3 linked regions of the Arabidopsis thaliana genome follow. The protein of the gene in region 1 interacts with the protein of each later gene in a pairwise test. Each region holds a gene or a part of one and is shown in the gene's direction. Other genes may lie near its edges.

Evidence for each region.
Region 2: the proteins of LUT1 (region 1) and AT3G06470 interact in a protein complementation assay, tested with the Arabidopsis thaliana proteins (one large-scale study listed by BioGRID).
Region 3: the proteins of LUT1 (region 1) and AT5G49130 interact in a protein complementation assay, tested with the Arabidopsis thaliana proteins (one large-scale study listed by BioGRID).

What each region holds. Positions count from the first base shown.
Region 1 is NC_003074.8:19,691,107-19,700,822, forward strand, and holds LUT1 (Cytochrome P450 superfamily protein), read left to right. Parts: upstream 1-1,650; 5' UTR 1,651-1,705; coding exon 1,706-2,203; intron 2,204-2,352; coding exon 2,353-2,649; intron 2,650-2,738; coding exon 2,739-2,936; intron 2,937-3,025; coding exon 3,026-3,127; intron 3,128-3,225; coding exon 3,226-3,366; intron 3,367-3,435; coding exon 3,436-3,543; intron 3,544-3,704; coding exon 3,705-3,787; intron 3,788-3,884; coding exon 3,885-4,047; intron 4,048-4,142; coding exon 4,143-4,172; 3' UTR 4,173-4,585; coding exon of another isoform or gene 4,586-4,963; intron 4,964-5,072; coding exon of another isoform or gene 5,073-5,409; intron 5,410-5,517; coding exon of another isoform or gene 5,518-5,582; intron 5,583-5,949; coding exon of another isoform or gene 5,950-6,249; 3' UTR 6,250-6,436; downstream 6,437-9,716. Other genes in the region: VPS37-1 (Modifier of rudimentary (Mod(r)) protein), read right to left, coding at 76-122, 210-249, 680-767, 862-1,044, 1,371-1,384; AT3G53140 (O-methyltransferase family protein), read left to right, coding at 4,586-4,963, 5,073-5,409, 5,518-5,582, 5,950-6,249; UGT73D1 (UDP-glucosyl transferase 73D1), read right to left, coding at 6,630-8,180. UniProt on the Arabidopsis thaliana protein: Heme-containing cytochrome P450 involved in the biosynthesis of xanthophylls. Specific for epsilon- and beta-ring hydroxylation of alpha-carotene. Has only a low activity toward the beta-rings of beta-carotene.
Region 2 is NC_003074.8:1,980,534-1,987,331, forward strand, and holds AT3G06470 (GNS1/SUR4 membrane protein family), read left to right. Parts: upstream 1-3,197; 5' UTR 3,198-3,672; coding exon 3,673-4,509; 3' UTR 4,510-4,797; downstream 4,798-6,798. Other genes in the region: AT3G06455 (ubiquitin family protein), read left to right, coding at 352-670, 804-1,522; AT3G06460 (GNS1/SUR4 membrane protein family), read left to right, coding at 2,148-3,044; AT3G06480 (DEAD box RNA helicase family protein), read right to left, coding at 5,164-6,184, 6,271-6,548, 6,646-6,798.
Region 3 is NC_003076.8:19,912,064-19,919,439, forward strand, and holds AT5G49130 (MATE efflux family protein), read left to right. Parts: upstream 1-3,808; 5' UTR 3,809-3,840; coding exon 3,841-3,906; exon of another isoform or gene 3,907-4,019; coding exon 4,020-5,462; 3' UTR 5,463-5,904; downstream 5,905-7,376. Other genes in the region: AT5G49140 (Disease resistance protein (TIR-NBS-LRR class) family), read right to left, coding at 7,022-7,376.

The sequences.
Region 1 (9,716 bases):
GACTGGTAAATCAGAGATATCGAAAAGGTATAACATGGTAAAACTGAACAAGAAAAGTTGGTTCTTGATACACACTTGGTTTCTGAGCTCCATTATCTGTGGCTCCTTCTCCAAGTTGTCTCCTGTTACATTTGATCAAATGGAAAGTTCTAGATTTCTGGATTGAACTAAAGTTTCCTGTAGAATTACATGAACCATAGAGTACTTACTAGCTAGCTGCAATGTTTCTCTACGGAGCTCATCTTTGATCTGACGGACAGAAACAAATCACGAAAAAATTAACGTCCAGAGACTATAACAAGGAACCAGAAAGCTGATGACATGATACAGGCTTTATCAAACAATATCAATGTATAGACTTGAAAGAGCACTAATGAATTATATCAACACAGAACTAAAGAAGCTACATATTCTTAGAGCTACAGATAAGACCCTCGGTTATCCAGAAACAACCGACTGTTTTAGAGACTATAACAAAGAACCAGAAAGCTCTAATTACTGGCAACATGTAGAAGATGACGCCATGATAAAGGCTTCCTCAAACAATATCAATGTATATACTTGAAAGAGCACCAATGAATAATATCAACACATAACTAACGAAGCTCCATTCTTAGGACTACAATTAATAGTAATACTCTTAGCTATCCAGAAACAACTGACTGTTTTAGAGACTTACATTATTCTGGACTTTGACCTGGTCAAGAGAGAGCAGAAATTGCTGATACGCATCTTTGTCAGAGAGAAGCTTCCTGAGTTCATCCACGCTACAGAAAAGTATACACTATTCAAAAAGAAGACATACAAAAAAAACGCACACTCGAGAGAAGGATAACAAACAAACAAACAAAAAGAGCAAACCTTTTGTCTTTCAAGAAGACGATAATGCCAGCTGCTTCACCCGGTGATACTTGTGCTGAAATCTGACCTGAACTTTGAGGCCGGGATGAGCTTGGCGAGCTAACTAAAGAAGGCGAGTACCATGGCGACTGTGAAGAAGCTTCCTGAGGACGAGATTGCCCTTGTTGTTGGTCTTTTGATCCCCTTCACGTACACAACAAAAAAAAGAAACATCATCAACTAACTATCTCAGCTTCCAAGTTAATATAATACATCACCTCATAAACTTGAAAGGTGCATTTATACAGCACATCATTGTAAACCTAATATCAGTAACTATGAACCCTAAATCAGTAGCTGAGCAAAATCTACACTTGTCAATTCACCTCAAAAACCTCAAATATATCATTATAGCTCAACAAACTACACAACAACAAGATTTCCTTAATCGCTAACAGACCTAATGTCTGGATCACGCAATTTCATCAATAACATATGAATCAGATGGCAAAAAATTCGCAAAATCATACCAGAAATTGAACATCGTTTCTAGAATTCGCCGACTAACGAAAGGAATTGACTTTTTCTTGTTCTCTTGTACTTCTTCTTCCTACCAGATCGACAAAATTTAACAACTTTACAGAAACAGAGTTTACAGAGTTTCAAAGAAAATTCGATCTTCTCTGTTTCGTTTCAGATTTTGCTACTTGCTTTTAAAAGGCCCAAATACGAGGAGGCCCATATTAAGTTTTGATTAACAAAACGTAGTCGTTTTATGCATCGTCGTCCTTATCCACGCGTAACGGTTCGCGTTTCTACACAGAGTCAAATATTTCTGCACGGAAGCTTCGAAAAGAGGTCATCAATGGAGTCTTCACTCTTTTCTCCATCTTCCTCTTCTTACTCTTCTCTCTTCACTGCAAAACCTACGCGTCTTTTATCACCAAAACCCAAATTCACATTCTCCATCAGATCCTCCATTGAGAAACCCAAACCCAAACTCGAGACCAATTCATCGAAATCCCAATCATGGGTCAGTCCCGATTGGCTCACAACACTCACTCGTACCCTTTCCTCAGGAAAAAACGACGAGTCAGGTATACCAATCGCGAACGCGAAGCTCGACGATGTCGCTGATCTCCTCGGAGGTGCTCTCTTCTTACCTCTCTACAAATGGATGAATGAGTACGGACCCATTTACCGTCTCGCTGCTGGTCCTCGTAATTTCGTAATTGTGAGCGACCCAGCGATAGCTAAACATGTTTTGAGGAATTATCCAAAGTACGCTAAAGGCTTAGTCGCTGAAGTCTCTGAATTTCTATTTGGTTCGGGTTTCGCTATCGCTGAAGGACCTCTTTGGACAGTAATTTCATCTCCTCCTATCTCAATTTTGAAGTTTTTGGAATTGTGGAAGTAATGTGTGACTGTCTTGTATGATAAGTAACTCTAATTTTAGGGTTTAGATTCCAATCTTCTCTATTGGGCTTAGCTGAAGTCTGATTTTTTACATAGGCGAGGCGTAGAGCGGTGGTTCCATCGCTTCACAGGAGGTATTTGTCTGTGATTGTGGAGAGAGTATTCTGCAAATGTGCAGAGAGGCTTGTTGAGAAGTTGCAGCCTTATGCAGAAGACGGAAGTGCTGTGAATATGGAAGCGAAGTTCTCTCAGATGACACTTGATGTCATTGGGTTGTCTCTTTTTAACTACAATTTCGATTCTTTGACTACTGATAGTCCTGTCATTGAAGCTGTTTACACTGCTCTTAAAGAAGCTGAGCTTCGTTCTACTGATCTTCTGCCATATTGGAAGGCAAGTTTCCTGTGTTTTTTCTGTGGTTTGTTGATTGTGTGGAACAATTGGATTCTTGTTAATTGAGAGGGTTTGGTTGTTTTTTTCAGATCGATGCATTGTGTAAGATAGTCCCGAGACAGGTGAAAGCTGAAAAGGCTGTAACTTTGATAAGGGAAACTGTTGAAGACCTTATTGCTAAGTGTAAAGAAATTGTCGAAAGAGAAGGCGAAAGAATCAATGATGAGGAGTATGTAAATGATGCTGACCCAAGTATCCTGCGTTTCTTGCTTGCAAGCAGAGAAGAGGTTTAAACTTTTTTCCTTAAGTTTATAAGCAAATTTGGCCTTTCATTATCGCATAATCGAAGCTGATGTTGCATTGTGAGGGTTTTCAGGTATCAAGTGTGCAGTTACGGGATGATCTTCTCTCAATGCTCGTAGCGGGTCATGAAACCACTGGATCTGTCCTCACTTGGACACTTTATCTCCTAAGTAAGGTACCTTAATGTATCTTCTACTTTGCTATGCTAGAGAATTTACTTGGATGGGAGCTTCTCTGTTCTCATTTACCTCTTCAAATTCTCTATGTTCATAGAACTCATCTGCATTAAGGAAAGCACAAGAAGAAGTAGACAGAGTGTTAGAAGGAAGAAACCCGGCTTTCGAGGATATAAAGGAGTTGAAGTACATCACTCGTTGTATAAACGAGTCAATGCGTCTCTATCCTCATCCTCCTGTAAGCAATCAAGCTCATCTCTCTAATTATTCATGAACTAAATTTTCTGATTGATTTGTTTCCTGGTAGGTCTTGATAAGAAGAGCTCAAGTTCCTGACATTCTTCCTGGGAACTATAAGGTCAATACCGGACAAGACATTATGATTTCAGTCTATAACATCCATCGTTCTTCCGAGGTACAGTTCTCTTCCTTCTCTCGTCCATAGTATAACATAGGGGAGCCTAATCCTTCTCTTCAATGATCTTTGTGTGGTTCGGATATCTAACCGGAGTGGACATTCCTAGTATTACATTCATGCCCACATTTCTTATGTGTTTGTTGTTTGTTATTCCAAAGGTATGGGAAAAAGCTGAGGAATTTCTGCCTGAACGATTCGACATAGATGGCGCAATCCCTAACGAAACAAACACTGATTTCAAGTAAACTCAGTAGAACACATCTTTTGACACAAACTACTGAATCAAGATTAGTGGTTTTGATTAGGGAATTTAAAAGATGATTTTCTTTTTTCACCAGATTCATCCCATTCAGTGGAGGGCCTAGAAAATGTGTAGGCGATCAGTTTGCATTGATGGAGGCAATTGTGGCACTCGCGGTGTTTCTTCAGCGGTTAAACGTTGAGCTGGTTCCTGATCAGACCATTAGCATGACCACAGGAGCAACCATACACACCACCAATGTATGCCAATGTTCTCACACTCGAGAGATTAATGAGAGTGTCTGTTTTGTTTAGAATGATTCCAATTTCTCTAATGCTGATATTTTCAATTTCAGGGATTGTATATGAAGGTGAGCCAAAGGTAAAAACCAGAATTTATGTTTTCATGATAATTGATTGGTGTGAATGGACTTGTTTCATAGTACTCTTGAGAAATAACCACAAAAAAATGAATTATGGAAAATAGTTGTACCATCGGAAATGTGAATTTTGAACAGTGAGATGCTAGTACCATTAAAGTTTGGTAATTGTGTTATCATTTCAAATCAAACTTTCATACAGCTTGTGTTTGTTCTCCATTTTTCAGTAATTACGAAAATCAAAATTTTATTTTTTTTTGAATTTCTAAATAATAGACTAAGGTCTAAAACCATCCCATTCCATATGGACCACACGTAACATTAACCTTAAAAACCATATAAAACCATATAAAACCAATACTAGTGGGTTCTATAGCGATGTGTAGTTTCACTTTCACGTACGAGGAAGATTAAAAAAAATGGAGAACGAAAGCTCAGAGAGTAGAAACAGAGCTCGTCTTGCCATTATGGAGCTTGCTAACATGATTAGCGTTCCCATGTCTCTCAATGCCGCCGTGCGACTAGGCATTGCCGACGCCATTTGGAACGGCGGAGCCAATTCTCCTCTCTCTGCCGCCGAGATCCTCCCTCGCCTCCACCTACCATCTCACACTACCATTGGTGGCGACCCCGAGAATCTTCAGCGTATACTTCGGATGCTCACCAGCTACGGTGTCTTCTCCGAACACCTTGTTGGATCCATTGAGAGGAAATACTCTCTTACGGACGTCGGAAAAACTCTTGTAACCGACTCCGGCGGCCTCTCTTACGCTGCCTACGTCCTCCAACATCACCAGGTTTATGACTCATTTTCATTTTCCAAAATTGGAGTGATATATTAAAGGACTAATGATGGTATAATAAACTAATGTCTAAAACTTGTTGTGAAAATGATATATATTACAGGAGGCGTTGATGCGAGCATGGCCACTAGTTCACACGGCAGTGGTGGAGCCGGAGACAGAGCCGTACGTGAAAGCAAACGGCGAGGCGGCATACGCTCAGTATGGGAAAAGTGAGGAGATGAATGGTCTAATGCAAAAGGCAATGTCTGGCGTATCTGTACCGTTCATGAAAGCTATATTAGACGGCTACGATGGGTTTAAATCAGTGGATATTTTGGTTGACGTAGGAGGTAGTGCAGGGGATTGTCTGCGTATGATCCTTCAACAATTTCCTAACGTCCGTGAAGGGATTAATTTCGATTTACCTGAAGTTGTTGCCAAAGCCCCCAATATTCCTGGTGAGATTTTGTATTTATGATATATTGTACGTACGTTATTTTCTGAAAGTAAAAAGCTATTTTTAGTAATGTACGGAGTAATAATGGATGATATATTGTATGGTTTAGGAGTGACTCACGTGGGTGGGGATATGTTCCAATCAGTTCCTAGCGCTGACGCTATCTTCATGAAGGTTTGTTGTAACATTATTGTCTGTCACGAGAATACACCTACTAACATTTTTGCTAATAGGACGAATTCTAGTTTCTGTATATAGTTTTAATGTTTAGTGATATAGGTATAAATTTATAAGTCGCTTCGGACAATATGTTTGGTAGTATATAGTCTTAGTTATCGTTAGATCATGCGACTGGTCACTTTCATTTATTTATGATCATTTAAATATTGATTATACATTTCTCAAACCAAAAACTTGTGATCTGTTAGACCATGGATAGGGATCTCATGTTTGTTGAAAGAACAACACAAACAAATACACACATTTTTTGCTTCTCTGGTCCCAAATTAATATCTTGTAATATTGTTGTTTGAGTGTAAAGTGGGTGTTAACGACATGGACGGATGAAGAATGCAAGCAGATAATGAAGAATTGCTACAACGCGTTACCAGTTGGAGGAAAGCTGATTGCGTGTGAGCCGGTCTTGCCTAAGGAAACCGATGAAAGTCACCGGACTCGTGCCTTGTTAGAAGGTGACATCTTTGTCATGACCATCTATAGAACCAAAGGTAAGCATAGAACCGAAGAAGAGTTTATAGAGCTTGGTCTCTCCGCGGGATTCCCTACTTTTCGACCTTTCTACATTGATTACTTCTACACCATCTTAGAGTTTCAGAAGTAATATTCAAGCATTTTTCTTCTCATATTTCTAAAAGCTTCAAAATAATGAATCAAAAGACCTCTTTGTTAATTGAGTTGAGATATCTAGTGAAGACATTAATATTTTCATCAAGATGTAATAATCTAAAGTCTATATTCTAAGTGCATCCTTAAAAGGCATTTTCCATATATATAAGTTTCATCTTTCGAGAAAAAGGAAAAAAGACTCTTTAAGTGATGATTTCAAGAGTATTTCTAAATCACTCATTAGGCTAAGAGAAGAGTTCGAAAGTATACATATTATGCACATTATATCTATATGAATTTTTCTTCTTTGGCAAAAAGAAAAATCGTTTGGTGTTATTCTTATAAATCTTATGTCAACTTCTACATTCGATTTTTCTACACGAGACTCAATTGCTCCAAAACATCTTGGATTAAAATTGAAACGTTAATACTCGAAGATCCCTTTTCTTCCACAGCCTTTTTCGCCATTACTGCAAGTTCTTGAATACGTCTCCTTCGTCTCACGAATTCATTATCATCATCATTTTCGTCTACACGTTGACAATCTTGGTCCATCAAAAGCTTTATAGCTTTCACAACACTCGGTTTCTTGACCAACACTCCAAGTCTCTCCTCGTCTCCCCATCTCACCGGAATCTCCACCCCAACCCTAACCCCGATGTTCAAAACCTCCACGATGAGTTTCTCATTGAGAAATTGTTCAGCGAACAACGGCCATGTGATCATTGGTACACCAAAACATATCGCTTCTATTGTAGAATTCCAACCGCAATGAGTCAAGAACCCGCCGGTTGAACCATGTGAGAGTATCATAGCCTGAGGACTCCAACCCTTTATTACTATCCCTCTTCCTCTAACTCGCTCTTCAAAATTTTCGCGTTTTAGCCATTCGTCTAGCTCAATCATGTGTTTTTCCTCGGTCTTTATCACCCAAATAAAGGGTTTTCCCGATTCTTCTAACCCTAAACCTAGTTCTATCAATTGATTAGGTATTAGTCGACAGAGGCTACCAAGAGAAACATATAAGACTGACCTTGGTCTCATCGAGTCAAGAAACTGCAAGCATTCGGTCTCGCTTATTGCGATGTTACCATTACTTCCTCTATCGAATAGGTCAGCCATACGGTCGTTGCATAAAGAAACGGGTCCAACGAACCATACCTTCTTATTGATGGCCTCAGCGTAGGCCTCTGCATAGCCAGGCTCCAATTCCTGGAAGCTATTAACAATAACCCCAAAGGCTTCTGATTCAGATTCACGCATCTTCTCGCGAACGTCATCCATATTTGCTAACTTCTCAAAAGCACCAGGTAACTGAGCTCTAGCTATCTCAATCCTATGTGGCATTCCTGGTATAGGGAATGGCTCTACGGCCGAAGAAACCGAGAGGTGCGGGCTATGAAGATGGATATTGTGCGAACTCAAAAGAGAGAAGCAACACATTCCATGGAACACGATCCTCGGGATTTTGAACCTCTTTGCGGTTCTTGACGTCCAAAAAAGGCATTTATCGGAGATTATGCAACTTGGAGGGATATCTTGTTGCTCAAGAAACCGTTCCATGGGCTCTTGGAGTTTATCCACAGCGTCATAGAATCTTCGTAGGAGGTCTTTGGAGGGCAAAGTGTCCAGAGTCTCACAATCTTTGGGAAGACCGAATTCTTTGTAAGGAATTGGAAATTTAACGACATTGATTTCGAGACCCGACTCTAATCTTGCTCGGTCAACTGTCTTCGCAAACCTAGAAGCATTTTGAGGGGTTGTAACTATGGTAACGATGTTGCCTTGTCGTGCAAGAATCTTGGAGATGTCGACCATGGGGATCAGATGCCCTTGAGCCATGAGAGGGATCAAAACAAAGTGAAGTCTTTTGGCTTTTGAAACTATTTTTGATTCCATTTTTGGGTTTAGCAAATGTTTATGCATATACAAAATTCGACAATGTGTATATACGTGTGTGAATGCATCTGGTGAGAGACCTTTAATTAATTGGGAAAGTCATCAAAAGCTGTATATATATACTGACTTTGAACAAGTCACCAAAAAAGAACTATTGTTTAGAGAACCAATCATGTACCCTCATTCTTATAAAAAAAAATCGCTGACGGTGATGAGTTACGTCATTCATGACACTTAATGAGTTACATAAGATAAAACTTCAAGGAAAATATATATGTGAGGAAAACTTCAAGGAAAATTCACAAATGAAACAAAAAAAAAAATGTTGAGTTATCCAGTGAGATATGTAAATTTAAGTTAAAAGAATCTTATCTTAAATATTTATTAGTAAAACAAGTTAAATATTCACTGACACTTACGAAAAGACAACTATATATATAAAAATATCGTTATCTTAATTTGGTTTATTTTGTATTACGACTTCTGTATAAAGAAGTACCAAGTAGGTCAAGCTTGGCCGATGGGGCTGTTAGAGTTCCATTGATTATGGTTTTGTCTCCACCTAAAGATAGATTATTTGTTTGGTTATCACATGATCGATCACATCGTTAATCTACATGAGTTTCATTTAATTTCTTTCCGGTGTGTTCAAAGAGATCGATTTGTTAATGCAAATGAAATCAATTTAAAATTAGCACTCGATAGAATTTCAACACATTTGTACAAGAGTTCACGTTGAGCTTTAAATTGAACAAAAGAAGAAGAATTAGGACTTCTAATTTTATACAAAATGTGATTTTATTTTCCTCATAATAAAGAGTCTTTTTTGCGTAGGTTTAGGTTCACGGAGTTCCTGTTTTTCTTTGTTCCAAACATTGGTTCCAAGATCGCATGAAAGAAAGAGAGAAGGAAAACAAAATCAAAGGCGCTATCTCAAAGTCAAGATAGATTGAACAAGATATGATATTCGATATGTAATTTTTTAATTTATATTTTTGGAATCAAATTCATCTGGTTGTAATGAACGAATCTATAACTTTTTTATTTTTTTTGGGCAAACGAATCTATACTTTTGATGCGAAATGATTGAGATATTCTATAAAGTTATTGTCTATCAGAATATGTATACTAAAAAGATTATTTTGATGACTAATTAAGAACAAGATAATGTATGGAAAGAAAAAAAGATAATGAATGACAACTTGGATATATTTTTATATATTAATGTATGATCTCAACCCTCGGTTATGTAGGTTGCCCATCGAAATATATTGGAGATTAAGCCTTTAAAAAAAAAAAATATATACATATATTGGAGATTGGGAAAAAATACTTCCCAAGTTTAATTTTTTATCATCAAAAGTTCATAAAATATTTTAAGTCAAGGCATTTCTACAAACTAATTAGGAAACTATATACCTAGCTAGCTAGCTTTTAGCCCAAGAAAATCATATAGTTGTGATAGTTAATTTAAGCATTCGTTTTGAATAAACAAACACCAAACACCACGGCATATTTTCCTTATCTTTTTAGAGTTCCGTCTGAAAAGGACATATTTTTTTG
Region 2 (6,798 bases), about 18 Mb from region 1:
CTTTTGTAATACACTCTTTTGTATTTTATTAAGATACGAAACACATACATCAAGCTAAAAAGGTCATAGACAACAAACTAGCCAAAGCAAAACATAAAACCTAAGACTTTTCAAAACGAAAAGCCCAACTATGAAGCCCAACAAGAAGAAACCGCATCAGAAGAGATATCAATCTTATTCTTAGCCCAACACATTACCAAAAAGAAATCTTATTCTTAGCCCAACAAGCAGAGAGAGAGAGAGACTCAGACTACCTTAGGGATCCGTTTTTCAACTTTCCCCCAATTTCTCTCCAGAAATCGAATCGAACTTTGTTCTTCTTCTTCGTCCAAGCTTTAGAATCGAAAATCGATGGCGGATCAAAGTTGTAAGCCGTTGCAGTTTTTCGTGAGACTACTCGACGGAAAATCAGTAACCCTAACCTTTTCCTCTCCGATAGCGTGTGGCGAGCAGATCAAGCAGCGGATCTTCGAGCAAACGAAGATTCCGACGCATCTACAGAGATTGATAAGCGGAGGATTCCAAATCCCCGGCGCATCCGCGATTTCTCAGTCTGACACCACCATGAATCTTGTCCTGTCCCTCCGTGGAGGCAAAGGTGGACTCGGATCGTTACTTCGTAATGTGGTTATGAAAGCTGGACAGAAGAAGACAAACAATTTCGATTCGTGTAGGGATATGAGTGAACGGAGATGTAAACGCCGAGAACAGGCTTCAGGAGTGGAAGGATGGTGAATAAGGGAGGAATTTTGAGAAAAAGGCTCTTGAGTATCTGAAGGAGCAATCCAATAATGCTAAACAAGGTGTTGGAGATGGAGCTACGCAGAAGAATGTCAACAAGTATAAGGGGGGATCTGATAAGTGTATTTTGGCTGTGCATTTGGCTTTGAACGAAACTTTCAAGAATGGGAATAAGAGAAAAGGGAAGAAGATGGGTACTGCAGAATCTGAAAAATCGAAACGAATCAAAATATGGAATGGAAAGAGAGCTGTTGAAGATAGTGACAGTGATGATAGCAGTGACGAGGAAGATGAGAAATCTGTTGTTGGTGGTCAAGTTGATTCAGATCATAAGGATACTGATGAAAGCTCAGGCTCTGTTTTGGATGGATCCCATGATGGTGAGAACGACTTTGTAGTGCACCAAAGTTCAGATGTAGTTAAGGGAGAGATCACGGTTGTTCAAAGAATTAACGAAGAGAAGATGGATGATTTTGCTGTTGCTGATGCAATGGATCAACTTGAAAAGGTGGAGAAATCAAGTGGAAACGATGATTTTGTCGTAAAGAGAGGAGGAACTGCGAAAGAAAGAGTGTGTTGCAAACCTGTTGAACCGCTTAACTTTGCTGAGTTCAAAGCAGCCACAGATATGGAGGTTTTGGGGATGGAGAGATTGAAGACTGAGCTTCAGTCACGCGGTCTGAAATGCAGAGGGACATTGCGAGAGCGAGCTGCGAGGCTATTTTTACTTAAATCAACGCCCCTCGATAAGCTCCCGAAGAAATTACTGGCCAAGAAATGAAGACCAACATCCATCTTCAAAAAGATTACACCCTTTTGAAGTTTTTTGGCTTGTAGTTCAAATCATACAAGCCATTATGTAAATAAGAAATGTGTGTTAGATGACAAGGCCTAGGAGTTCAAATGTTTCAGTTATCTTTGGTTAAGTCCCTACCGAAATGGGTTCTAAGCCCAAATGTTTTAAAAACCTATAGCCTTATTTGAAAAAACGACAATTTTCAGTCACCAAGCCTAAACTTCCTCTTATTAAAGACAAGTTTTTCTCCTTTTAAAACACCATTAGCATTAATCATCATCACATTGATAACTAGATTTTACGATATTACCTTCCCACGTTATGCTTATGCATGATAAAAAAATATTGATGATGCATTCATTACGATATTACCTTCCCACGTTATTCAAATTGGTAAGCCTCTGATGACCCCATCGTCTCTCTCCCATATCAGTGCCGGGAAACCGGAGCAGTTGCGTGACTTAGAGTATTCATGACGCAATGGCACCGTTGTACTTCATGTTCCAAAACAAATAAGAAGACGCAACGCCACCATCCGTTTACTCCATTAGTATGTGTATATAAGCCATATCAAACTTCAACTCCTCCAAACTAACTTCGCTAGAGAATAATGGCATCTGTTTACTCCACCCTAACCTACTGGCTCGTCCACCACCCCTACATTGCCAACTTCACGTGGACCGAAGGTGAAACACTAGGCTCCACCGTTTTCTTTGTCTTTGTCGTCGTCTCCCTTTACCTCTCCGCCACATTCCTCCTCCGATACACCGTCGATTCACTCCCCACACTCGGTCCCCGCATTCTCAAACCAATCACAGCCGTTCACAGCCTCATTCTCTTCCTCCTCTCCTTAACCATGGCCGTTGGTTGCACTCTCTCCCTAATCTCTTCCTCGGACCCGAAGGCGCGTCTCTTCGACGCCGTTTGTTTCCCCCTCGACGTGAAACCTAAGGGACCGCTTTTCTTTTGGGCTCAAGTCTTTTACCTCTCGAAGATCCTTGAGTTCGTAGACACACTTCTCATCATACTCAACAAATCAATCCAACGGCTCTCGTTCCTCCACGTCTACCACCACGCAACGGTTGTGATTTTGTGCTACCTCTGGTTACGAACACGTCAATCGATGTTTCCTGTTGGGCTCGTGTTGAACTCGACGGTCCATGTGATTATGTACGGGTACTATTTCCTCTGCGCTATCGGATCGAGGCCCAAGTGGAAGAAGTTGGTGACGAATTTTCAAATGGTTCAGTTTGCTTTCGGCATGGGGTTAGGAGCCGCTTGGATGCTCCCAGAGCATTATTTCGGGTCGGGTTGCGCCGGGATTTGGACAGTTTATTTCAATGGTGTGTTTACTGCTTCTCTATTGGCTCTCTTCTACAACTTCCACTCCAAGAACTATGAGAAGACTACAACGTCGCCTTTGTATAAGATCGAATCCTTTATATTTATTCACGGAGAGAGGTGGGCAAATAAAGCGATTACATTATTTTCCAAGAAAAACGATTAAATTGTCATGATTATTATATATATATCTAGTTTGGATATGTTGATGTGTGTTGTTAGTTGTTACTGTAAAATGTTGGGATGCATGGTTTGAAATTGTTTTATATATTAACGAATAAGATGACAAAATATATAAAAATGTCACATAAAATCATCATGATCGTCTGATTCTTCTTATTGCATACATCTTTCTATACAACATTTGCCAACCAACGTTTCTTTAAAGGATTGGACACTGAGATTAGTTCTATAATATTTTTTATGCCTACCAGTGTTGGTTCATCAACCACTGGTCGTACCAAACCCTCTCTTTATGATAATGGAGGAGAGAGTGACCACGGTTTTTAAGAGCCGCCGCTGCTACAATGGGCCTATCTCGTAGTCCTCATAAACCGGGCTAGAACTACGGGCTACGGCGGCGTGGCCCAATTCAACAAATAACAACAACAGTAGCATATCATCTAAATATAATATTATACGATACTATACTTAAAAAAGATAAAAACAAGATCCTCTGGGACCCACTTTCATGAAAATTAGCCAATTGGGTAAGCCTTTGATCCTTCATCTCTCGCTAAACCATATCTTCAAACGTCAACTCCCCAAACTTCGTCGGCGATTCACCGGAGGCTATGGCATCAATTTACTCCTCTTTAACCTACTGGCTCGTTAACCACCCCTACATCTCCAATTTTACTTGGATCGAAGGTGAAACCCTAGGCTCCACCGTCTTTTTCGTATCCGTCGTAGTCTCCGTTTACCTCTCCGCCACGTTCCTCCTCCGATCCGCCATCGATTCACTCCCATCACTCAGTCCACGTATCCTCAAACCGATCACAGCCGTCCACAGCCTAATCCTCTGTCTCCTCTCCTTAGTCATGGCCGTCGGTTGCACTCTCTCAATAACCTCATCTCACGCGTCTTCAGATCCGATGGCGCGTTTCCTTCACGCGATTTGCTTTCCCGTCGACGTTAAACCTAACGGACCGCTTTTCTTCTGGGCTCAAGTCTTCTACCTCTCGAAGATCCTCGAGTTCGGAGACACGATCCTCATCATACTCGGCAAATCAATCCAACGGCTATCCTTCCTCCACGTGTACCACCACGCGACGGTTGTGGTCATGTGTTATCTCTGGCTCCGAACTCGCCAATCGATGTTTCCGATTGCGCTCGTGACGAATTCGACGGTACACGTCATCATGTACGGTTACTACTTCCTCTGCGCCGTTGGATCGAGGCCCAAGTGGAAGAGATTGGTGACGGATTGTCAGATTGTTCAGTTTGTTTTCAGTTTCGGGTTATCCGGTTGGATGCTCCGAGAGCACTTATTCGGGTCGGGTTGCACCGGGATTTGGGGATGGTGTTTCAACGCTGCATTTAATGCTTCTCTTTTGGCTCTCTTTTCCAACTTCCATTCAAAGAATTATGTCAAGAAGCCAACGAGAGAGGATGGCAAAAAAAGCGATTAGATTGGTTTCTTGGACAATAAGTAAAACCTCTCATTGTGTCTTGAATTGTTGATTAGTTTCCACACAAAAGGATTAATTGTCTTGAATTGTTGTTTATTTTGAAATTTTTGTCTGTGTTGTACTTGCAAATGTTGAGATACTTTTGTACTTGTATGAATATAAGATGACAGAAAATATCAAAATATCACAAAAGTCATGACATGGACTCATCATCTCTAATTCTTTGACTGAAAAGTACGTTCAATCTAAAGAATTCATGCAATGATGTAAGCAAGAATTGAATTTAAACATCGTTCACCATTCCAAGAACATTGTAAATTTATCATCTCTAAATGCTGTATCTGTCTATCTAGAAGACTAGAATTACAGTTTTTCCCAAGTTCTTCCTTTGATGCTAGTCTAGATTTTTCTGAAGGCAATAGAAGGCGTTTACATAAACGATAAAAATTCTCAAATACATTACAAACTAATTCTCCATGATACAACAAGAACATGAGAAAAAAATAAAAAAATGAAAATAAAGAAACCTCAGCCAACAAATCTGAGAAGACGTGTCAGCTGTCTGATTTGGTGAATCCATTCAATACCCAAAAAATTTGGGGTGAGCTTGTGATATCTCCGTAGTGAGGATTTATATCATTCTATGATTTGGTTTTAGGGTTCTTCATCAACCACTGGTCGTACTAAAGCCGCTTCTACCTCCGATTCAACAACCCCATTCCCTTGTCTCTCAGACAAGGATGTAGGAACCACGTTTTCAATCGCTGCCGCGGCATTCATGTCCAGGTTCACTACAGATTCAACTGGTGGTTTAATATCAAACCCAGAAACACGTGGCGCTCTATCTCGTCTTTCATAAACCGGACTAGGACTACGGCTATAGCTTCTGCTCCTGTTATGACCACCTCGGTCACGGCTATGTCTAGGGCTGCGACTCCTTGAACGTGACCAGCTCCTGCTACGGCTACGGCTACGACTATAGCTCCCGCTCCGGCTTCGACTCCGGCTATAGCTCGAGCTACGGCGCCGTGGCCGAACCAAATCAGGACTTCTGCTGCGACTTCTACCTCTTCTGTTGTCAAACCGTCCAACACCACGACCAAAGCCTCTACCACTACCACGACCAAAGCCTCGGCTCTCCATATTATTATTATTGCCAAACCGACCAAATCCGCCTCTACCACCCACATTCATATGACCAGCATCAGGACCAGTAAAACCCCGACCACGATTCCCGCCACGTCCAAATGAGTCATCTCTCATTCCAAATCTTCCCCCACGGCCTCCAAATCCACCCTCACGGCCCCCAAATCCACCCTCACGGCCTCCAAACCCACCCTCACGGCCACTAAACCCACCACCACGCCCACCAAACCCACCACCAGAATCCCAACGGGTACCACCACCGCCAGAGTCAAACCGGTTAACCATACCTCTTCGATCCTGGCTATAACCGGGACCACCACCACCACCACCACGCATTGCAATATCTCTTACTTGAGGCGGTACTTGCTGGTTCGCTCCTTCCAGGACTTTGATCAAATCAGGTGCGTATTTCCAATCTTGCTCTGTAAAGAAAGTGAATGCAACTCCAGTTGCACCAGCTCGACCGGTTCTCCCAATACGGTGGACATAGTCTTCAACTCCAGTTGGAAAATCGTAGTTGATCACAACTCTGAAGTAGTATAAACACGAACAAAGGTAAGTAATCTTGATAACAAACAAGCAAAGAGATATATACCAGGAATTATTACAACAAACCGTATGTCTTTTATGTCGAGTCCCCGGGCAGCAACGTCAGTAGCTATCAGTACACAAGACTTCCCGCTTCGGAACTGGTTAAGCACCCAATCTCTCTCACCTTGAGTCTTGTCTCCATGGATCACAACAGCGCCAAAATGACGTCCGACACTACGTGCAAGATGGTCACAAAGCCTCTTCGTGGAGCAAAATATTATAACTTTTGAACCTCGTTCTTGTGACCTAAGGATTTGCTCCAAACGTCTCTCTTTCTCCATTTGTGGGACTACTTCAACATACTGCGTTATAAGGATGGGTTTGCTTCAGTAACCTCATCACCAAGTTATGTGTAAGTATTGCTTTACAGTGATATAAAATGGTTTAGATGATCATCACCTGCGTTATTGCTTTGTTAGCAGCCAACTCATCTACCCTGCCTATGTTAACTTGGACAGGGTTCACAAGAAGATCGCTTGCAATTTTTCTTACTTCTTTTGGCCAAGTGGCTGTGTACATAAGAGTCTGTCTCCGAGGAGGTATTTCATTCAC
Region 3 (7,376 bases), on another chromosome or scaffold:
AGAATCACGAGTTTGGCCCAATGATTGGAAGCTTTACTTTCGGCTCAAGAAACATTAGTTCAAGTCCAAGGTGCTGCCAAAAAAAAGACATTAGTTCAAGATAAAGGAAAGGTTAAAGGATATTTTTATTTTGTTTAGTTTCTAACCATTGTTTCCGTCTACATTTCTAATTTTAGTTAATGTCCGTTAACAACTTAACATACGAATGTTCTCTTTCAAATAATGATGTCCTCTCATATCATATATCTTTAGGAAGATGTGGTTTTTTTTTGTTTGTTTTAGATACAAGCAATGGTTGATTAATTATGAAAGCATCGCTCTTATTGTTGATGATTAGACTACTAAGCATCATGAGTTCATGACTCTAAACAATCAGTCAATCACACATAAACATAATTAAAATTTCACGTGGACATTCTTGCAAACATGATTATATTAAATCTACTCTTTTAATCGGAATGTGAATATTAATGTGCAAAGATATTAATTTGTAAGTTTTTATCCTCTTTAGAATTAATAGTTTAAATAAAAAATATTTGGCTTGACAAATATCGTGATTGTTACAATTTGGCATATCCAAAGAAATCCGACAGTGTTTATCTATATCAGAAATAAGAAAACATAACTTATTGGGATGTATCTATATATACATTTTTGCAACCATTTTAACAAATAAATCGTGGATTTGGACTTATTTACAACTCAATGCCATTAGCATTAAATCTTTCTCCAAAATAATTAATTTTACTTTAAATTGTTAATCACATTATCAATCAAATTTAATCCAAACAAACTTCAAATCAATCTCTTAAAATTAGCATAAACATATTTGTTAACAATATTTTAAAACAAATTTTTTTGTTAAAACAAATATTATTCTTACTAAACGTTTTTTGTTTAAATAAATAAATCATGTATTTGAACTTATTTACAATGTAATGACACTGACATTAATTATTTAGGAATGAAAATATTAAATCTTCTAAATCCTTGCTTTTAGAATTATTATGTCATTACTTAAAAGGCTCAAAATATAAAAAAATTAAATATTATTATTTATATATCTAGACTTTATAAAACATTATTAATATTTAAACTTATAAAAAGTTTAATATATCATAATTTTTTAATATTATTATATAATATATAGAGTTTTAAAAAATCTTAATTCTTTCCGTCATATTTTGTGACTCGAAATTTTAAAAATAAACATATATTAATCAATTGGCAAAAAATGTGTGAGTTATACGTCCCACATGAACTAAAATATTTAGACAATGATTCATAAATATATCATAAATAAGATTAACATTAATAAAATAATGATTTTTTTACAGGATGGGTTTGGCGGGACGCGATTTAGCAGGACGTTACTTAATAACAAATATAAAGTATAAAATAAAAATATTTTATAGCAAAATTTTATATATACTAATTTTAAAATATAAATTGTCTCCACGGTGTACCACGGGTTAAAATCTAGTTATTTAGTAATTATGCATCTCGTATAAACCAGCTACAAAAATATCAGTGGAAGGATCTTTATCAGCAAGCATATTAGAAAACATTAAAAAATGAATAGTAAACTATGAGTGGGGAAGCAAAAGAAGAGCGACGGCTTGCTATTGGAGACAAAGTTCATACCACACGAACTAGACGATGCATAGTATAGATATAGGTTAGGCATATGTCCATGCATATGTTACGTGTAGATTGAAAGGGCATCGAGATCAACGGTGGAGATGGAAGCAAGTAAAAATAGCCACGTGTGGAAAAAGCAAAAGAAGAGAAGAAGAAGATATAAGCGACGAAAGGAGAGAGGATATGTTTCCTTTGTGATGGGAACATCACAACTCTGTCTCTATTGGTACTTCTAGTTCACTACTTGTCTATGTTTTTTCTTTCAGTACTTAGTTTCCCCCACGATTTACACAACTTTCTTCTGCTCGTATTTACAGATTTTGAAGATTATTTATACATCTTTATATAGAACTACACATGAAATCGTATGAAAGCATGCATGAATCATGATTCATGTGTGTGAAAATTGACGGTATGAAGATGTGTATAAATTTTATACATCTGCGAAAATCATATCTTGTGGCCAAATATCGACCAATTGGAACGGCTTGCAAATTCTATGAAAACGATCGATATGAAAATCTGATTTACATATATAATAGTATTTTCAATTAAAAATCATTTTCCTCAATTTCTATATATGTGTATTTAGCATATATATATATATATATATATCAAATAAACCAAATAACTTCAATAATAATTTAAATATATGAAAATTAAAAAAATTCACTACTCATATGATATAATTCATCACTATAGAACTTATAAAATAAGATCCTGGTAAAAAAAGCATCAATCTTGTATTTCAGTAGTTTATAATGTTAAAATATATGTAATCAAACTTCTCATATTTTTATTAAAACCACACATGGGCTATCTAGCTAATTCACACACACATATATATATATATTGTTTTCGATTGTCATGATGATCATTTATCCACGTAAGCAGAGACAAGATGTAAAATGTCACTAGTTTATAGGGAGTGGAGTGGGAATAAGTAGGAAAAGGGAAAAAATTAAAGGAAAGGTATACATAATTTTCAAGTCGATTTTGGGTTGATAATTACAGTGAGAGGGAGACAACACATTGCGCTATACCTAATTCTAACTAGTTTCATTTCTAGACTGATGGACCAATCATATCACTTTCTACTAATATCGTTAGTTTGAGCTTCATAAATATCTTTTATCACATTTTATTTTAGAAAGGTTGTTGTTAGTTCTATGCATCTTTTTAAACCACACGAAGTTTCAAAAATATTCATAATAATATTTACGCCTTTATAACTAACATATTCAATTTCTTACATTTTATCATGGACAAAAAAAGAGAGTAGTTCCTCAGGAGAAATACAAATTCGATATCTAAAATCAAGTGTTAGTAATCTATTGGTTAATATTTTTTCAACACAAAGATTATTTCATGGTAAATGCATTTTTTAAGATAACAATTGTATGTTCGAACACTAGTTTAGATTCTCTATATGATTTTCCGATACTCAAAGAAACTATACACTCACTTTCTTAACAAATTTATTAGGCCAAATATATACTGTTTCACCGGAGATGCATTCATATTTACTATGGATTAGATAACAATTGTATGTTCCGAACACTATTTTAGTTTAATTTAGATTGCCTATATGCATGATTTTTTTATAACCAAAGAAAATATACACTCACTTTCTTAACAAAGATTAAATAAAGAGATAATCATAAATGGAACTTTGTACTAACAGAATCTTGAGAAGAAATTTGATTTGAGTTTTGTTCTTTTTTTTTTGTTGTTTTAAATTTCCACATGCCTATACTTTCGTTTGTTTATGTGACGCTTTTGTACGACAAAATCAGGTTTGGATTCGTACTTCTTTTAGGTCAATACATTCTTTTGTTTAATTCTGACCAAAAATAAAGAAATATGTTGTTTAATAAAAATGTAGGATATTGAGAGTCGTACTATAATAAAAAAATAAAAAAATCTCGAACTTTGATAGTATAAGAGATATACGATTAAATCTTGAACTTAATATCCTATATTTTTCTCAAACTATACTTAGTTTGTATTTATACTTGTATATATTAGAGTCCACACAAAGAAAAATGGATAACAAATAATGACATCAATATTTTGGGAACCCCCACCATGCCAAACCCAACTCCATGTTACAAAACAAAACAAATAAAATTTCTTTATAAAATGGCATCTTCTCTTCATATTTTTTAAATCTCTCATCTCAATAAACAAACACTAACAATGGTGGTCGAAGAAGATTCACGTCTCATAAATCTCCAACACAAGTACAACCCGACAATGCCCGAGGTACTAAATTAAATCTAAAACTTCTATTCTTAGTAAACTTCTTCCTCAGATAGAGTCTTTCAAATATCTCCTCTCTTATAATTATTATTTTTTTATTTAAAATATTTAAAAAGGTGGTGGAGGAGCTGAAGAGAATTTGGGACATAAGTTTTCCGGTGGCCGCCATGAGCATATTAAACTACCTAAAGAACATGACATCCGTCGTGTGTATGGGACGACTCGGTAGCCTTGAGCTCGCAGGAGGAGCCTTAGCCATCGGTTTCACCAACATCACCGGTTACTCCGTCCTCTCTGGTTTAGCCACCGGTATGGAACCATTATGTGGTCAAGCCATCGGTTCTAAAAACCCTTCACTCGCTTCCTTAACCCTCAAGCGAACCATCTTCCTCCTTCTCTTAGCTTCTCTTCCCATATCACTCCTTTGGCTAAACCTCGCGCCTCTAATGCTGATGCTCCGCCAACAACATGATATCACTCGTGTCGCATCTCTCTATTGTTCCTTCTCTTTGCCTGATCTTCTCGCTAATAGTTTCCTTCATCCTTTACGTATTTACTTACGTTGTAAAGGCACCACTTGGCCTTTGATGTGGTGCACGTTAGTCTCCGTCCTTCTTCATCTTCCCATTACTGCTTTCTTCACGTTTTACATCTCTCTCGGAGTTCCCGGAGTCGCCGTCTCTTCTTTTCTTACCAACTTCATCTCTTTGTCGCTTCTCCTTTGCTACATCTACTTGGAAAACAACAACAACGACAAAACCACTTCCAAGTCTCTTTGTCTTGATACGCCGTTGATGCTGTATGGTTCGAGAGACTCCGGTGAAAATGATGTGTGGTCAACGCTGGTTAAATTCGCTGTTCCGAGCTGTATAGCGGTTTGCTTGGAGTGGTGGTGGTACGAGTTCATGACGGTCCTCGCTGGATATCTCCCCGAGCCGAAGGTGGCGCTAGCAGCAGCCGCCATCGTGATACAAACAACCTCATTGATGTATACAATCCCAACGGCCCTCTCGGCCGCGGTATCCACGAGGGTAAGCAACGAGTTAGGAGCAGGACGGCCAGAGAAAGCAAAAACAGCGGCGACTGTGGCTGTCGGAGCCGCCGTGGCAGTGTCAGTGTTTGGACTTGTGGGGACCACCGTGGGGAGAGAAGCTTGGGGAAAAGTTTTCACCGCCGACAAAGTTGTCCTCGAGCTGACGGCGGCGGTTATTCCGGTGATTGGAGCTTGTGAGCTTGCCAACTGTCCTCAGACCATTAGCTGTGGAATCTTACGTGGCAGTGCGAGGCCAGGTATAGGGGCCAAGATTAATTTCTACGCCTTCTATGTAGTTGGAGCACCAGTGGCGGTTGTTTTAGCGTTTGTGTGGGGTTTAGGCTTCATGGGCCTATGCTATGGCTTGCTTGGGGCACAGCTAGCTTGTGCAATCTCCATTTTGACCGTTGTTTATAACACAGATTGGAACAAAGAGTCCTTGAAGGCTCATGACTTGGTGGGCAAGAACGTCATTTCACCTAATGTCGATCAAATTATTGTCAAATGCGAAGAAGGCCTACACTAACAGTTTTTCCTTCTCTTTTCTTTTTGTTCTTCATATATACTATCTCCATTTATGTCTCAATGATTTGCTTTTGTTTTAAAACTTATACATTTATGTAAGTGTCTTCATTGGACAAGGACAGAATGTAAAACTTTATGAAACACAAAACTGTTGAAGATTTTGCATTATTGAAGGGAGTGGAATCGTGGATTGGATGATGAAGACTTATATGGATGCGATGGCTAATGACCATGACGTGTAATATATATTGGGTGCATGAGTGTATATAGAGATACCGAACCACATGGAAAAACAAGAGCTAATTGGCCGGAACACATGTGCAAGCATGTGCATGTGTACCCATACAAAATAGGCATCATATTAGTGTCCTTGTGGCTTCTCGCTTCTTTTCTCCCACCTTAATTATCTTTCACAACAACTAAAGCTTTAAGCTCATACTTTCAGAAACCTTTAAATGGAAATATATGATTCTCATTTTCATTCAATTGAATCCAAACTAATGTTTACATGTTGGCAGTGGAATAAGCAGTTAGTATGTTTAATGAGGTTTAAAATGAAAGAAACATCATATACACAGTTTCAAATTACTACTGATAAAATATTATAAAATTTGTATCATTCAGATCAGAAAAAATGTGGCATAGAATTAATTATTAACAAAAAACAAAAAAAATGGTGATCGGTGATGAAAGTAAGTTGCCTAATTTCATGCTTGAAGCCATTGTATTTGATAATAACTACGTACGATTGCAAGAGAATTTTGCATGACTATCTTAAAGATATATTATTATTAGCCCTGAATATATTGCGTAGATATATTATAAAAAAATTGAATGCAAAATTATCTATGTTCCGGTAAGATTAGTCAATGAGAAATGGTAAGTCTTAATAACAAAATTTTGTTTTTTTTCGCCAACAATTTTTTTAGTTTTTTTGGGTAAAAGTAGAATAAAGAATCAACAATTAGAATTAGCCACGAATATATTTGGGTGTAGTGAAAGTAAGCCCGATCGAAGAAGATAGGTGGGGAGGGGATAAGGAGTGAGACACATTATGTTTTGTTTCCTTTGTTGTTAACAAATACTAAGACCTTTGAGGTTTGACGTTTTTTACCTCAAAAAACTTCATTACCTTCCGTTCGTACGTACCATGATGTGCCCTGCTTAATTAACACGTGTTCCTTCACCTTTTCACTGTTTTCTGTTGTTTATATTAACACTTTGGCTCGAGCAATTTTATCTACAATAGTCACTATTAAAAGAAGTTTTGATAAATCTTGAATTGAAAATTAGTCTTAAACCTTACCGATCTCTGTCAACATCACACGTACGGGGTTTGCAAGAACAAATCAAAGGCTTAAGCGTAAACTTGACACCACAATTATTAGTTGTTATTGTTGAACAAAATAAAACCAATAATGAAGCACTAATAACACAACATAACGTGCGAGTATTTTAGTGGATATAGTTTGAAATGAAGTTAAACTTTTAACATAAGTACTTTTTTTCATTTTCGAACGCTCCGACATCTTGTAGAAGTTCCTGATAGCTCCCGAATGCTTATGCATCTGTCAATATTTGTACACCACATTCCGTAATCTCGTGGTGTATGCTGCTGAATCCAAACCGTATCACATCCACTTCTTCAAGTAAGACTGAGTTAAATATAAACAGATGCGGTGTGACAAAGTCCTTGACAACTCCACCAAATCTATGTGCTGCGATGAGACGACCACTTTCACCTATGAGACGACAATATACAGTACAAATATTGTTCCTTTCGCTTGGGAAAAGTAGGATGCAAGCCTTAAATCTTAAAGATGAAGAACAAACATTTTCATCTTCTAGATGGATGGTCAAGGAACCTCCTCTGGCACGGTGACTGAACTCCAGAGGAACCTCTTTGCCAGGTAAG